2 linked regions of the Schizosaccharomyces pombe genome follow. The protein of the gene in region 2 interacts with the protein of the main gene of each other region in a pairwise test. Each region holds a gene or a part of one and is shown on either strand. Other genes may lie near its edges.

Region 1 (7,304 bases), on a different chromosome or scaffold from region 2:
AAAATAGAATGGCCCAATAACATTGATATAAAGTGCTAGTCAAAAAGAAAACAACACTAGCGTATGGCTCCATTGTTTAAATTCTATGATGAAAAGTAGAAAGATTGCTTTCTTAAAAAACGCCAACGTAGAACCCAATATGGCATGGATACTTTCAGAAAATTACTGGATTGAGTTTAAGCAAGAGAGTCAGTCGGCAGCCGACTGTTCATAAAGTCTTGGTAATTTAAATATATTTGTTTTGAAATTTAACGCGACATAGCGTAGAGTAGTTAATGTTCCGGAAATTGATTACAGTGCTTACCGTTTGCCATAATTTGTGCTCGGAAGCTTTGTTTGGTTCTGCAAGTTATTTATTTCATAATAATTTATGGGATTTTAAAGAGGAAGGTGATTAACTTGCCGCCATTTCGTAAAGCAAGCAATTGCATTTCTTGGTTAGTAGCATACTAACCCTTAATTATTCTACAATTTGTATTGAGAAACCCTACATCTGACGATTAAATTTTGTAACTCAATCGAACTATCTGCAACTTAAAACTTTTGCTTACGCCACCCTTCTCGACTCATCTTGGTGTGCACTTTAAGTTAAAGAATGAAGAAGCTGTTTAAAAAGAAGAAGGGTGTTAGCCCGCACATGTATATGCTTCCCGAGGAATCCAACTCCAATACGGCAACCAATGCTCCCTCATATTCGGTCGGTGGAACCACGGCTAATTCATATTCTTCCAATAGTTATAACGACAATAACAACAGCAATAGTACATATGGCTCATCCAACAATTATGGAAATTATGGTTCCTCCAACAATTATGGGAGCTACGGTGCCTCTAACACCTATGGAAGCAATGGTTCTTCCAACAATTATGGAAACTACGGTGCAACAAATTCCAATGGAGATGCTGGGTATTCCATTACTCCAATTCGTAATGACCCCTACGCTAGAAAAGACATGCCACCAATGAAATCTTCTGCTGCAGTTACGGAGAGGCCCAGCATGCATCGTTCTGCTCCCAGTCAAGACACTTTAGATCTCAAAAAACAGGAATTGTTCGCAGGAGCACGTATCCAAAACGATGATGAGTCCACAACGGATACTATTCCCCACAATGATGATGGTACTGAAGGAGATGAATATGGCGAAGGATACCGTGATGGATATGAGGAGGATCAAGAAGTCGAGGCCATCAAACAAAAGATTCAATTTGTCAAACAGGATAGTTTGTCAAGTACGAGAAATGCTTTGCTTATGGCAGGAAATGCCGAACAAATGGGTCTAGCTACGTTAGCCAATTTGGGAGAGCAAACCGAGAAAATTGCCACTGCTGAAAAAGAGTTGGATATTTCAAAAATACATGCTAAAAGGGCAGAAGAACAAGCTCGGGAACTGAAAACGCTTAATCGAAGCATGTTTGCTATTCATGTGCCAAAACCATGGGGAAAGGCAAAGAGAGTCGCTGCTGAAGAAGCTCGTTTGGCCGCAAAAAGAGATGCTGAACGTCAAGATGAAATGCTGAATCGCCAATTCGCATATCGATCTCAGAAACGCATAGATCAGGCTATGAAAGACAACATGAAATCAAATAAAAAGAAGGGTGACTCAAAGGGTGTTTCCATTTTAGAGCGTTCTCATTACCAGTTTGAGCCAGATGCCGAGGATGATGCTATGGAGAAGGAGATTGATGGCAATTTGGACCAAATAGGAGCACTGGCAACTCGATTGAAAGGTTTAGCTTATGCAACAGGACAAGAAATTGATTCACAAAACGCTCGTCTTGGTTCTATTCATGATAAAAGTGATCGCCTCGATACTGATGTATATCTGAACGTTGAACGACTTCGCCATATCCATTGATTTTTTTTAAACCACCAATCGTCTGTATTAGCTCTTTCTTGCTATCTGAATATTGTGCTGTCCTTTTATAATTTTTTAATCCAATACCATTCGCGGTAGCCTATTCGTGTTGCAAGTAACTATTGCAAACTAATTAGATGTTGCAGCTTTGATAGTGGTATTGACTGTTAGTTTTTATTCTATTTTTTTGTGCTGAGTACGAAATGAAGTGAATCCATATCACATAGGCATTTTCGATTTCCATGTTTTTGAGCTATTTCGGTATGCATTAATGATTTGTCAATCGATGGCAGTTTCTTTATTTCATTGCTCGCCAATGTCAAGTCAATTTTAATAGACATTTTTAACCTATATCATCGAAACCTTTATACGCAGCAATATCAGAGTAGATGTATATGATGCATCCAATTTAAAGCATGTGTCCTTACGATTATACTATCAATAGTTTTTTTAACCGGTTTAAATGCAATTAATACAATCAATATGACAATGTAAACCGTTAATAATTTGTTAGAGAGTTTTACTAATTTCCAATAATTTAGGGCAAATGGTTGAACATGAAAGTACTTTGATATCTTCCCTATAGAAATAGCCTTTTATTATTTAATTTGTTAGTTCATCCAATATAAAATATTATATTAAGCGATCTGTGAAATTGAGAAGATAACGCAAGATCTCGCTTACAGTTTACTCTAAACTGTTGTGATATTTCGTTAGCCAATTATATTGTACAAAACTACGTGAAAAGGCATAAAACTCATAGCTAACCAAAACTACGAGAAAAGCAGGTTTATTCTGTTAAGTAAATGTATTTGAATCTCTTTGAGTATAAGTAAATTGCATTAAAAAACGTTGTAGTAATGGTAAAATCAATGACTAAAACAAATGTAGAAATATCAAAAGGTTGCTAGTACACTATTTTCTTTACAAGTACTTTTCATTAACAGCCTTACGTTCATCAAAAATAGCAAGAGCTTCTTGAGCAGCTTTGATGCCGCTAAACATCATACCACCGAAGGTTGGTCCCATACGGTTGGCACCATCAAATTCAGAAAGCTCCATACCTCCAACAATCATTCCTGGAAAAACTTCACGAGTTCCCTTTACAATAAGGTCCTCAGCACGGTTCATATCTAAAGGACGCATGTCGTGAAGGTTAGAAACAAGTTGAGCACTGGCAAGGCGCTTGACACAGAAAGCGCCGAATGGACCATCATGACCAGTAGCAGAAACAACCAAATGGGCATTAATAGTGTTTGGGTCCATGCAAGATTGAAGACCGTGATTCAAGGAAACAAGGGTCCAATTTGTAACAACACCGGCAATGCGTTGCTTACCATCTTTTCCTTCCTTAACAATCAAATCTTCAACAGCAGTGGCATTGAAAAGTTTGACATTAGGAAGTGCCAAAGTACGGGCCATAACAGTGCTGGTGAAAAGAGCGGCATGTTTGACCACAACATAATCACCCTCATCTTCGTAAGGAACACCAATTTCATTTAAGAAAAGATCAGCTGGCTTACGAACAACCATTGCACTAAAAAGCTGACCACCAAGCCAAGCACCACCACCTGGAGCAACACTAGCCTCGATGATAGCAATCTTCAAATCAGGGCGGCGAGTTCCAATGTAGTAAGCTGCAGTAAGTCCTGCAGAACCAGCTCCAACAATAACAATGTCGGATTCAGCATATTTATCCAAGTCGCTGAAATAGCGACGAGTCATAGCACGGCTTACAGTGCTTTCACGAATAGGAGCAAAGCTAAATGACTCGTCCAAAGAGTAAGTAGGGTAAGCCTTTGATAAAGCACCCATTTCACTTTTCACTACAGTGTTATGAGCAGTCTTTTCAACTGGCAAGTCAGTCTTGAAGGCAGTTTGGGGTGTAACGACAGCAGTAGCAGGGGCCATTTTGAAACTTAAGAATAATATTCAGAACCGATAGTGGAATGTTCAATTGATGCTGAAACATGCTATGAGCCCCCTTTATATATCAAAATTCTTACCATCTTTCGACTTTCATTTTTGTGACTACAAACAAACTTGCCTTTGGCTGCCGGGTTCATAACTCCGTAGTATCAAATTTCGGTTACATATTTCCAGTTTCGGTTGCAAATTAGTGGATCTGATTTTTTAAGCTTTTCTGGTCATTTTATATAAATCTTTGCATAGAAATAGTGTAGTCTGATGATATGACACAAGCATTAATATTGAACAGAGATCGAATTTTAAAGACAATTAGCGTCAAAAAAATTAATTTTTTAATGTTAGACTTAAGATCAATAGTACCACAAAAGTTTAGAGACTTTTCTAACATAAAATTGCCATATTTCAAATTTGATAAAAGTGTTTCGGACTCGGAAGCTTGCAAGTATGGCGAGTATTGGGTTGCATTCGTAAGTGTAATTGATACATGATAAATATCTGAATATGCAGCTATTATTTGCTGATTTTGTTCGCATCCAAGTAACTGATCGGCGGCGATGAATTACAGATGGCGTCTTCAAATTAAAAATAAAAGCCTCATCACAGTAACTACCCGTCATTAAAGATTACAATCTCATTGGAAAGTAAAAAAAGAGCCAGGTGATACGGATAGACATCAATACATCTCCCTTTTTGATTGAAGACAGACTTGGGTGTTTCGTTAGATAGTTCATCGTGATTTCCAAGCCAATGACTTTTTGACTGTTATAGCAACTAACAGGTTATTAATGTAACTTTGGCTTATATATAAAATCATATCCAATGGCTCACCAACTAAGGATGGATGCTATTATACAAAGCATTTGCATAGTCTTCAAATAAATATAAATTGAAGGGTTGAAAGGTCAGCTGATGATGAAAAAAAGATACCTTGATTTTCTAAAACTCAACTTCAATCGATATAACATTCTTATGTTTCGATTAAGCCAGTTTAGATGGTGGTAAAGACATAGCATGCCATCATAATCGAGAGCTTTTAAGCTCGGAGTCTTAATGAACACATAACTTATTGTTATTAATGAAACATATTCATTATTCAATATATGAGATATTTTGCAGCAATGTATACAACCTTCCAAGAAGGTTTATTGTATTTGCTTCTTCGACTCATTAAGGTTCGATAGTAAAATTTTACTAGCATATCCTCATTATTATCCTCTTTTGTTAAATATGGTAATTTAAAAAATATTTTAGTTAAAAACTCTCCCTCCGGGATTCGAACCCGGGCTGCAAGCGTGACAGGCTTGTGTACTACCCCTATACTAAAGGAGATTATTGTGAGGATTACTAATTTGCAAAATATAATTGTCGTGTACTTTGTGTTGCATGAGCAACTTAAATAGTTTAGTCAGTTTTTGAAGGCTTCGGATACAGTGAAGAAAGAAGGTAAGAATTTATCTCTAAAATTACTTTCTTTGGTCTTCTTCCCTACACGTCTCGCATGTATTATATTTATCTGTAACGATGAAGATTGAAGAGATTGTGATTAATTTCATTTTTTGTTGTAGGCTGCGATAATTCAAAAGTTGAAAGACAATGGAATTCAATAGTTACAGCCATTGATGGCTGATTTCGTCAATTGAAATTTTTGGCAGCACTTTCATAGCTGTGTTTCTTTACCTTTACTAAATATACCGTAAAATAGCTTTTAGTGTAAAAATGTTAATAGAATTCGGGCTAATGCGATTGAGTACGAAATTAAAATAAGAATGACAAATGTTGTTGAGCTAAATAGCACAAACCCAATGAGTGCATTAAAAAGTAGAGAATTAATAATATTGTTTTGGAATTTAAAAAAAAGAAGCCTACAGCACCCCGGATTCCCATGTTGTCTCCAACCATAGTACTAACGAGGCCCTCAGACGCTTAACTGCAGTGATCGGACGGGAACTGGTGTTTTCGCCTAGGTATGGCCGTAGACGACTTGTTCTTATAATTGCACTATATATATTATTCCAATATAAAAGAGATACTCTAATGTTATATACTAAACTCTTTTGTCAATGAACTGTAAAATTTTTAATATCCATATTCTTATACTTTGCACGAGATGTACAATTATTGAAATCTTGTCTGTACGAATTTAATTTAGGAAATATTTTAAAAAAGCTAGCCAAATTGGTTTTGAATTATTTTAATATTCGGATATTGGTTGTTTTGCTAAAGTGTTTTATATCATTTAAAATTAAAAAAAAAAATAGAAAAAGTTTCAAAAATAGCTTTGAAATTCTCTCAGCTTGTTAAAATACTATGAAAAAATAATAATAATTTTTTGAATTATTTATTTGCTAAATTCCTTTTGTGTTTGTAATATAATTTTATATACTGGATCTACTTAACAGCTTTGCCTCCGTTTGTTGTATTAATATTCTAATGTTTACCTCTTTATCTCAGATTAAAAAAGAAGTAATGGGACAACTATTTTTTTTTTTCAGTTATCACTGGTGAAATCTAATCAATGCATTTCATACAATTCGTAAAGTATAGAATATATTATTAAACAATCTTATATTCATTACAAAAACTTTTTGCCATGTAGCTTTTTCAACATTCGACTTATTCAATGTATCTCTTTCCTTAAGCTTTGATTTTAATGCTGAAAAAAATCCGTATCTTATTAAAAAATAAAATAAAATTAAAGATTTCTGTGATATTTAGATACATAACTATTCGGCCTTCGTGTATAACAACCCCATATTGTTCGCTTCGTTATCTCGTTATTCACCCGTCGAAAATGGTAGCATCAAATATATTTTGTGACCTTCACCAAACTCATATAATTCCACAAGGATTTTGCTTTTGCTTAATCCAGAAGGGATCAATTCACTGTGAATGACTGGAACGAGTTTTTACACTTCGGTACTCAGATTGGGACGATTGGCTCAACAGGGCCTAAAATTCCAATCTGTAAAACATATTCGTCCATCATGTTTTTCATCTTTTGGATTACAAGCTAAACGTTGGAACTCTACTCAACAAAATGATAGTTCTATTGATTGTTTAGAACCTAAGCTGCAAGGAATTATTGAAGACAATATTTCTCCCTCGACGGCACAAAAAGAAATATCAGACATCAAGTTTAATATTCCAAAGGAAATGCTTCTTCCAGATGGAACTCCTGATTATTTACGTTTGACTCTCACGTCTAACGTGTATGAAGTTATCAAGGAGACTCCTCTTACAAAGGGTGTTGTCATTTCTGAAAGTACCGGTGTTCCAGTCTACTTAAAACGTGAAGATCTCACTCCTGTGTTTTCATTTAAAATTCGAGGGGCTCATAATAAAATGGCTTCTCTTGATAAGCAGTCATTGAAAAATGGAGTCATTGCTTGTTCCGCTGGCAATCACGCCCAGGGTGTTGCTTACTCCGCTAGGACTCTTGGTGTAAAAGCTACCATTGTTATGCCTCAGAATACTCCTGAAATCAAATGGAGGAACGTTAAGAGATTGGGCGCTAATGTTC
Region 2 (9,119 bases):
TCCAAGTTATCCAGATCTTAAAATTCCCGGTGTGAATTGTCCAATTCCGACTGGAGCGCAGTGGGGATTTCATCCTGGTGGTTGGGGAAAACCTCCTGTGGACCAATTTAATCGTCCTCTTTATGGCGACGTGTTTGGTAATGTCAAACCTCGAATACATGCTGGTACAGGTTCGCCTGTGAGCACTCAGCATTGGGGTGAATTGGAGGAGTTTGAGGAAGAAGAATCTAGTGAAGAGGAAGAGAGCGAAGACGTAGAATATCCTACTGAAGAAATTACTGAACGTGAAACGATTGAGGAATATCAGTCAGCGTCAGAGCCTAGGTCACAGAGGGAAGATTTGCATGCAGAGCCCTTAACGTATTTTAATCAATCTAATGTAGAGGTTGACAATGTTGAATTACGAAAAAATACTCAACCAAGTAGTGATGCTGCTAATCGAGACTTATATCAAGTTTTACCTGAAAAATCTACTAATATCTCAGGTTTCATGGGTCCTCAGCATCAATACGACATTCCTACCGCTGAAGATACTCTTCCACAAAAAAGGAATGCACATTCCATGCTCTCATCAACCAACAAAGGAGATGTTGCGTTAAATCAAAGTTCTAATTGGCAAGATGAGCTTTCGGAGTTGGTGTCTGAGCAGGCTATGAAGGTTGGTGCTGCGAAACGACAGAAAACACAAAGCAAGAGAGACAAGTTTCGTCTTTAAATTATTATCTACAGTGTACATTAGTTAATCTATATGACAGTATTATTGTTAAGCTCCATACATTATTCAAGTATTAATTATTATTTGTAAGTGAAAATAAAAAAAACCCCAATTTATACCCTAGCTAAAATATATTTTATATACTGTTTTTTTGAAGATGGAAGTCTTTGTGACTATATTTTTCCTTGATCTTTGCACGATACTTTGATTTCTTCAATACTGGCAAAGATGGAGGAACCATTGCTCTTTGTTGTAAACTTAAATAGCGATCGGCAAACAAATTTCCTTCAGGCTTCAGCTCTCTAAGGGAACTAGTCAGCTCATCTCCCAACTTTATTTCAAGTGGGTTGTTAGGCAATCGATGTTTACCGAATTTTTTCTTCTTCAGTTTGATTTCAGTTGTGCTAGAAGAAACAGCCTTATTAGAGAATTTCTCAGCTTTATCCTTTTGCTGCAGTTTTTTGGATATTGCAGGAGCTTTGTCGATCGTCCTCAGAAGCTCTTCATTTTTCTTTTGCTCAAGTAATCTAAGCTCCTCCTCTCTTCTTTGGCGTATCTTATTTCTTTGAGACCTGGTTTTTCGTTTGTTCTTCGAAGAAGGGATCGGAGTTTCTGCTTGTTCGTGTTCAGACTGGTCATCAGAATCAATGCTGTGATTAACGTCTTGGTCTGAAACTAATCCCTTGTCTTCAAAAGCTTTCTTCTGTATTCTTTCCTTTTCCTCTAATTCACTAATTCTTTTCTGTTCTTTCTTAAGTTCCTCTGAACCTTTGGTATCAAGTAGCTTCATCCAAGCTGCAGCGTCAGGATTGTATGACATTCCTGGATCAGCGATAACAACATTTGGGACTTTTGCATTATTCTCAGTTAAAGATTCGGGTAGTTTAGATAATGTAGAAGGTCTTTTAACAGGTATAGTAACTGTTGGGTTTGTTTCCCAAACATCATAACTTTCCTTTGGTTGTTTGGTATTTTTGAGCTCACTAGCAGCAGAAGTTGCGGTTAAACCATCTTTATTTTTATACACCAAAGCTTGTAGTCTATTTAGTTCTTTTCTAGAAAAAATTTTTCCTTTCTTATTGCTTTCAGTTGAATTATTCGTTAAATGAGAATGAACTTTTTCTATGGAAGACTTATTTTCAAGAATTTGATCAACCTTTAATGGTTTAATTTTTTTTCTGCTTCTTTTTGCAATTCTATCATCACCAAGAGTGTCAATTACAAATAAAGCATCATTCGGCTTGTGCTCGACATTTCCACTGTTTTAAGTTAATAAAAATATTTTTAATTAATACAATGCAAAAACTAATATACCCTTTTATTTCCTCATCTCTAGTCTGCTCTAGACCAGACTCGATATCCTCCAAATCAATATTTTTCCTCCATGCTCGTTTGTTTTTACGAGATGATTGTTTATATTGAGAAGGTGCATTCCTCTCTTTGATTCCCATCTTTTTAAAATAATAGGATTTCGACTCTCTAATCTAATTACTACAATTAGGAGTGCTTGGCAGAAGGCAAAATTCTACCACTTGCCAAGCACCTAGTACCGCAGTGCAAAATTACATTCTTAAATTAGTTTTTCAATATAAGTGAATACTCGCCTGGATATATAATCTAATTGCAATGAAAATGAAATTTAATAAATATTTAATATTTTTTTTATGCTTTAAATAGAAGATGTGAAGCTCTAAAGTGCGAAATTGAAAATCTATACACTGCAACTCAATTGTAATGAATTAAATTAAATTATTAGAACCTTTTGTTATTCTTGGAACAACTTCAACATCAAGTAATATGAAAATAGACAAGGTATAAAAGCTAAAATTTATGTACAAGCTGGCTGGAAGCTACATGTACGCAAATACCTAATTTAGTTTGATACATATATAGCTTTCATCAATATAAAAAGCACCAAGTATATTTACTAGATCAATTATTTAAATTTTTTTTTTCTTAAAAATACAAAAAACCAAAGAATGTTTAACCATATTGAATATTATTAATTAATCATGTCACTAATTCAGGCATATATTACCATCAGAACAATCAATTTAAAAAAGTTTTGTAGAAAGTAGCCAGATTTTACAGCCTTTAGTCACGAACTTTCTCTTTAAGAGTCTGCAAAAACTGTAAATAGCTGGGAGAGTTCTCACTACGATCCTCGACGAAGTGAGAGAAAAACCATGAGCGCAATTGTGGATCACCATCACCACGTACAAGGTAAAGACTAGGCATAATAGTTGAACCTTTATCCAACGAACGAAGTTTACCGAGAATCGCATTGATACGAACGTTAAGTGGGTTGTCTATAACTGGCATTGTAAAACGTCCAGCTTTCAAATCCGCAAGAGAGTTTACACCAAATGCGTCTATCAGTAGCTGCGGAACTGCATCTTTACCAATATACAAAAATTGATGAATGTGTGTATCAACCAAATATAAACCAAAAGATTGCAACAAAGCTGAAGTAAGATTTAACGCAGAAGGGAGAACTACACCCTGTTCTGTAACAGTTCCTGCTTCAATAGGCATATCGTGCAAAGAATAAAGAGTTGGATAAATGTAACGCATTAGTAAAGGAGTTGGCAGAGTACTTAAATAACATAGAGCAATAGAACGAAGGTCAGATGAGATATGACTAGATCTTCTGAATCCAGTATGCTTCGTCAATGCTAAACAAAGCAATGGTAATAGTCTTAAATTGGTGCTTATTTGAAGCGGGATCGCAGCACCGGTGTTTTGTCCAGCCAAATTTTTTTTGTAAACTTCCAAAATTTCTACAAGCTTACTTATAATGCTATCACGGGCTTCGTTCAACGTAGAAGAAAGAGCCTTTTCACTAGCCCGGACAGTAAGATATTGTGCAATGGCAACTTGATCGGCTGATGCATATAAATCAGTCATACTATTGGTAGTAGGAAGAGAAATAGTCAGTACACGAATCCGTCTTTCACCGTTACAAGTAGTATGGAGCATAGCTGTTTGGAAAGAAACAAAGGGCTTGGTGATAGTGTCCTCAATAACAACCTCTACTACATAACTCTGATCGCGAGGAAAAGAAGGAAACGCACATAGATCACTTGAACGATTAAAAAAGTTTCCGTAGAAAGAAGACATACGGAGACCGTTAGATCCACGAACACGCATCACCGCCTCTAGCTCAATCTCCATACTGAGATAGTTAGTAAGTTCAGAAGCAAATTTAAGAGCGTCCTCGCTACGGGAAGCATTCCACCTGTGATAGAATTGGGTTTTACCAGAGGTGTATCTAGGAAGGCAACTTAAGGTTGCTACATCTTGATACTGAGAAGAAAAAAGAAACATATCAACAGAGACTTGAGACGTGGAGCATTCCACCGCGAAGGATTTATAGAAGGAGTCATTGGGATGAAGAAGGCTAGATTCACGATTTGTTCCCAAAAGTTTAGGATCTTCACGTAACTCCAATTTACCAACACCAACATTAGGAAGACTCGAAATGAGACAGCAAATTTTACCGCCAATATTTTCAATGAGACGATGGGCAGCCTTAAGACCTGGTCCAAGGGCATTACTAGAATCACGGGTAGTTGCAAACATTGATTGAAATCGCTCGAGTAAGTTTTCAATGCCTTGTCTACATTCGCGTAAATTAAGTAACAAATCTTGATTCCTGGGTAAAAACGGTTCCTCTAAATCAGAAACAACTAGTTGGGTGGCTTCTTCAGCACCAGGGGAAACTGAAAAAAAATGCAGGGCACTGTCTACACCAATAAAAGCCACCTTTGCACGTCCTTCTTTATTGGGGATGCGATCCAATGATTCCAGAATTGCACGACTTGCAGTACCAACCATACCAGAAGATATGGATACAAACGAAATATCAATTAAAAATACGTAAACCAAAGGTTGTGGAGCACGAACCATATATTCTTGAGGAGCAATAAAATCAACAACTGCATAATTGAGCTCAGGACGTTGCCAGCGATCACGTTGGACATTTCTGAAACTGTCCCAGTCATATGACTGGGGTACTTCATTAACAATACCACAAGAATTACAGCGATAGCGATGGCCATTGTCAATAAAGATACTAAAAGGATTGATATACATACGACACCTGCGGCATCGTGATATAATAGTATCAGTAACAACTGGAACTGGATCATCTTCTTCGACCAAGCTAGTATATGGACGGATGACTAATGCAAATGGAATTTTTGACTTTTTTAACAAGCTATTTGTTGTCGGTACACAGTTTATCGTGGATCGAACATATTTGGGAGGGCAATTGGAAGTAGCTGCTCCAGTAGCGGAATAGCTTAAGGGTAAATTAATAGGAGGAGGAGGAGAGGTTAAGTCAGAAATTTCTGGTGTTTGATTGTACAAATCAACAGAAACTAACTCATTGGTAGGCATAGCTGCTGCACCATCTGCTCCAAGTGACATTCCGCCAAATTGTGCAGAGAGAGATTTAGTTCCCACCTCTGCGCGATCATGAGGATATGGTGAAGAGGATGGAGTTCGTGCCATAACGTAAGAGGGCTCTGAAAGAGAAGGGGGAGCCGGTGACGCTGCTAAGGTATTTGTAAGTTCAAACACCTCAGCAGGATACTGTCTACGAGACTTATGAGAGGTATGAGAAACGGGTGGTTGTTGATCGACAGATCCTATTATGTTGGTAGGAGCAGCACCCATAGCTCCAACAGCGTATTCACCATTGCTTACAATGCCTTCAGCTGTACCCTCAGCAACTGCCCCGACATAAGGAGCGGTATTATCTAGCTGGCCAGCAACTGGATAAACTGGCTGAAATCCTTGAGGAGGTATATTCGAATTTCCACTACTAGCTCCATAACTACCCTTTCCGTAGAAAGCGTCCTCCTGACTCATTGCTTTAGTGTATTTTTTTTTACTTACAGTGGTATATTGCTAGCAAAAAAAAGAAAAGAAACACTGAATTATTTAATAACTTTTTTGAAGATCCCTCTATTTTTCCTTCCTTTTCACAAAAAGACGTTTTTAACAGTGTTCCCTGGAGTAGGTAAATGGCAGCTACATTCGCTGGTTCAACTAACGTAGATGGAAAGTTAAGGTAATCACTGGAAAGTTAACGAGCTTTACAGTTTCGTTATTAAATACTATGTATCGTAGTAATTATATCGGTGACACACGTTATTACCCTAATAATTTTAACATAGGCAGGAACTTTGTACCTAATTGATAAAAAATAGTGATTATTAGTAAACAAAAGCCAATAGAGATATTTTATCGTTTTAATTTATTCTTTTTTTTTTTTAAGTTTGATATGAGGCAGATACCTGTAAACGTTTTCAACTAAAAAAACTCTTCTAAACCACTCATACTTAATTTTCTATTTTAAAAATTTTACATGTATATATCATAAACAAGAGAGTCACATCTTAAGAAATTTTGAAATTTTTTTAAAAATGCTCTCAAAAACCATCACTGCATGTATCGTACACTATTTAGCTACACCAACGCTCTATAATGTTACCCAATTTTAACAGGCTCACTAGTTAATTAGAATTCAGAATTGCAAAGTATCAAAAGTTCAATTATAGATTGAATAATTGAAGTTGCCTGCGCTATTTGGTTTTGTCTTACATGAACTATTACACCCCGGGTCCCTTGCTATACTGATTACCTTTTGTCAATGTTTTTTTCTTAATATTTCTTCAGACAAGTGAACATTATTATGCAAGGAAAAAACAATTTAAGTTGCAGACCGGATACAGAGGACAATGAAGAGCTCTTTGTCGATGATCAACTCTTATCACCCATTGGTGACTCGAAAAATACAAGTTCTTTCATTTACTTGGGAAACCCCATAAGCTTTCATGAATACAATTATGATGAGACTATGGTATCACCTGAAAATGTGAAAACAGCAATTGCTGGAAGTGCGAAAGACCATGAAACATGTCGAGGCTTCAAAAAAACAGGCACTACTTCATATAAAGACTTTGTATTCAGTAGAGATTACACCAACTGGACACCCACTTTTTGGGTTCTGTTAAGTCAACTAATTGATGAATTTTTGAAAGAAAGCGAATTAAACTTTGTGGCTGCGAGAGATCTTCTTATTAAAACCAAAAGACTTCCAAAACCTTTCAATAATTTACTCATTCAATTTCGTATGACACCTGAGTGCTTTCAAAAAAATCCGCTAATTCAAGTCTAGAAATTCAAGTGCCCAATGTTTCACGAAGGACTGTGTATAGGCATCTTAAGGGATATTTTAACATTCCAGGTTATGAAAGGTTTCAATACGTTAAAAAAGCGTCGTCTGGATCATGGGGAGCAAACGACATTATCACTTTGGAAAAAGAAATTGCTATGTTTAAAAAGGTATGGTCTTTAGCTTGCTGTTTTATTATAAATATTAAAAAACAGAAAAAAAATTGGTCTGATGAACAATTTCTTCAATATGTTTGGTCTGATAACCATCGTGATGAAATGAAAACATTATATAATTGTTTGTGTAAGTCAATTACTATCACTTGTTACTAATTAATAATAGATGAGCTTATCGATAGGGATAAAAAGAGTATTTACAATTATCTCCGCAGAAAATATAATCCATTTAAGAAAAAATGTAAATGGACTATAGAAGATGAGGCAGAATTGAAAAAGTATGTAGTTTACTTTCCAAATTGCAACTAACTAATAGACTTGTTGAAAAACATGGAACATCCTGGAGCTTAATTGGCAAATTGTCGAATAGACTACCAATGCATTGCAGAGATCATTGGCGCGACTACATTCAACCTGGTGAAATCAATCGTTCACCATGGACTATCCAGGAGAAAGAAAAATTAATCAAAACGGTTAATCAATACTTGCAAAGCAATCCTTCATCCCCTATTCAATGGAGTCTAATTTCTAAAAACATGAGAAATCGACACCGTCATCATTGTAGGTGGAAGTATTACACACTAATTTCCAGAGATATACATAATAGTTCCCCTTTCAAACTTGGCGATAGTATATGGTTAATTGAAAGGTACTCCAATTATAAAATTTTAAATAAGAAGCTAATTAAATTCAGAATGATGGACCTTAATGTTGCAGAGGAACGGATGATTGATTGGAAATGCTTATCAGAATATGCTAATCACCTATGGACAGCAGATGCTTGTAAATCGCATTTCGAAAGAATAAAAAAAACCTTGTTTATCGATGGACTTTCTACGTTTTCTGGTAAATTTTTGAATATAATAATTATTGTTAATATGTTAACGCTTTAGATACTTTAATTCATTTGCACAAAATGCTAAATTCTTCTCCTGAAGAAACTTACATTTCGAACTTACATGATTCTTACACCGCTTTTTCTAACGCCGATGATTTATGCTAGCTACATGAACAAATTTATTTTAACTACTTCCTCAAAGTCATAGATTTAAATTTTTTGTGTATTCATTGAGAGAATGTTCTCATCTTACTTATATTAGTAAATTCACTTTTATATTTTTTCTAGTATACATTTGTGTATGTAACCTGTTTGCCGTGTAGTCAATAAATAAAACAAATGTGGATAAAAAGGAAAAATAGTTTCTAACATTGGAGATGCCGGGAATCGAACCCGGGACCTTTTCAAGGTGCGAACTATGCGAATGAAACGTTATACCCCTAAACTACATCCCCAGTCGATATGATGTTATAATTTAACCCATTATTAATAAAAGGTTAAAAAAAAGAACGAATGTCAAGCTATAAAATAAAATAATCATCATCATCATTGATTAATTTAGCAAGGGTGCCTGCATCTAGTTTTTTTATCAGTCAATAACTCATACATTAACCGCATTCATAAGAGGCTATTTTGACAGGTCATTTCTGAATTTTTTGAATTAAATTAATAGTACACAGAGAGACATAAATGAAAACTAAGTAAGTTTCATTAATAATACATGAATACAGAAGTGATGCCCACAAAATAACAAATCAGATAATTCTATTTACTTACCCATCATAAATTTTTATTCATTGATGCGAAAATAAAATATGGATGAAAAGAGGTTGATTGAAGAAAAGTAAAATCATTAAATAATTTTTTCTTTATGATAAATTAGCCAAGCGTCTAGTGATTTCATAGAGTCAAAGAACGGAATTTAAATTACTGATGTACTGAAATCCTGATTTTTATGTCAAATATTCTATCACTTCCTAACTAATCCTTTTCATAAATATGACTAAAAAAATTACAAGTTTAAGTTGTTTCGAACTTATCCTCTACACATTCATAAATACGCCATGAAACTATGCAATGTACATCAAAGACAAAAAAAAATGTTTAACTTGTAAAATAAATTGAGACTAGGCTTTTCAAAATAGGGATATCTCCGATAAAATCTCATACATAATCATGCAATCCGAAATTGGAATTGAGCTTGAC

Evidence for each region.
Region 1: the proteins of sec24 (region 2) and thi2 interact in a two-hybrid assay, tested with the Schizosaccharomyces pombe proteins (2 studies listed by BioGRID).

Annotation. Positions count from the first base shown.
Region 1 is NC_003423.3:3,937,036-3,944,339, reverse strand, and holds thi2 (thiazole biosynthetic enzyme), read right to left. Parts: upstream 3,815-7,304; 5' UTR 3,767-3,814; coding exon 2,780-3,766; 3' UTR 2,641-2,779; downstream 1-2,640. Other genes in the region: sec9 (protein transport protein), read left to right, coding at 596-1,855; tda1 (threonine ammonia-lyase), read left to right, coding at 6,674-7,304. UniProt on the Schizosaccharomyces pombe protein: Involved in biosynthesis of the thiamine precursor thiazole. Catalyzes the conversion of NAD and glycine to adenosine diphosphate 5-(2-hydroxyethyl)-4-methylthiazole-2-carboxylic acid (ADT), an adenylated thiazole intermediate.
Region 2 is NC_003424.3:4,796,226-4,805,344, reverse strand, and holds sec24 (coincidence detector Sec24/Sfb2 subunit), read right to left. Parts: upstream 5,751-9,119; 5' UTR 5,591-5,750; coding exon 2,810-5,590; 3' UTR 2,693-2,809; downstream 1-2,692. Other genes in the region: putative U2 snRNP-associated protein Sap145, read left to right, coding at 1-715; rRNA processing protein Rrp16, read right to left, coding at 852-1,974, 2,030-2,166; RNA polymerase I termination factor Rtf1, read left to right, coding at 6,417-6,855, 6,903-7,069, 7,115-7,202, 7,242-7,353, 7,392-7,724, 7,770-7,921, 7,969-8,078. UniProt on the Schizosaccharomyces pombe protein: Component of the coat protein complex II (COPII) which promotes the formation of transport vesicles from the endoplasmic reticulum (ER).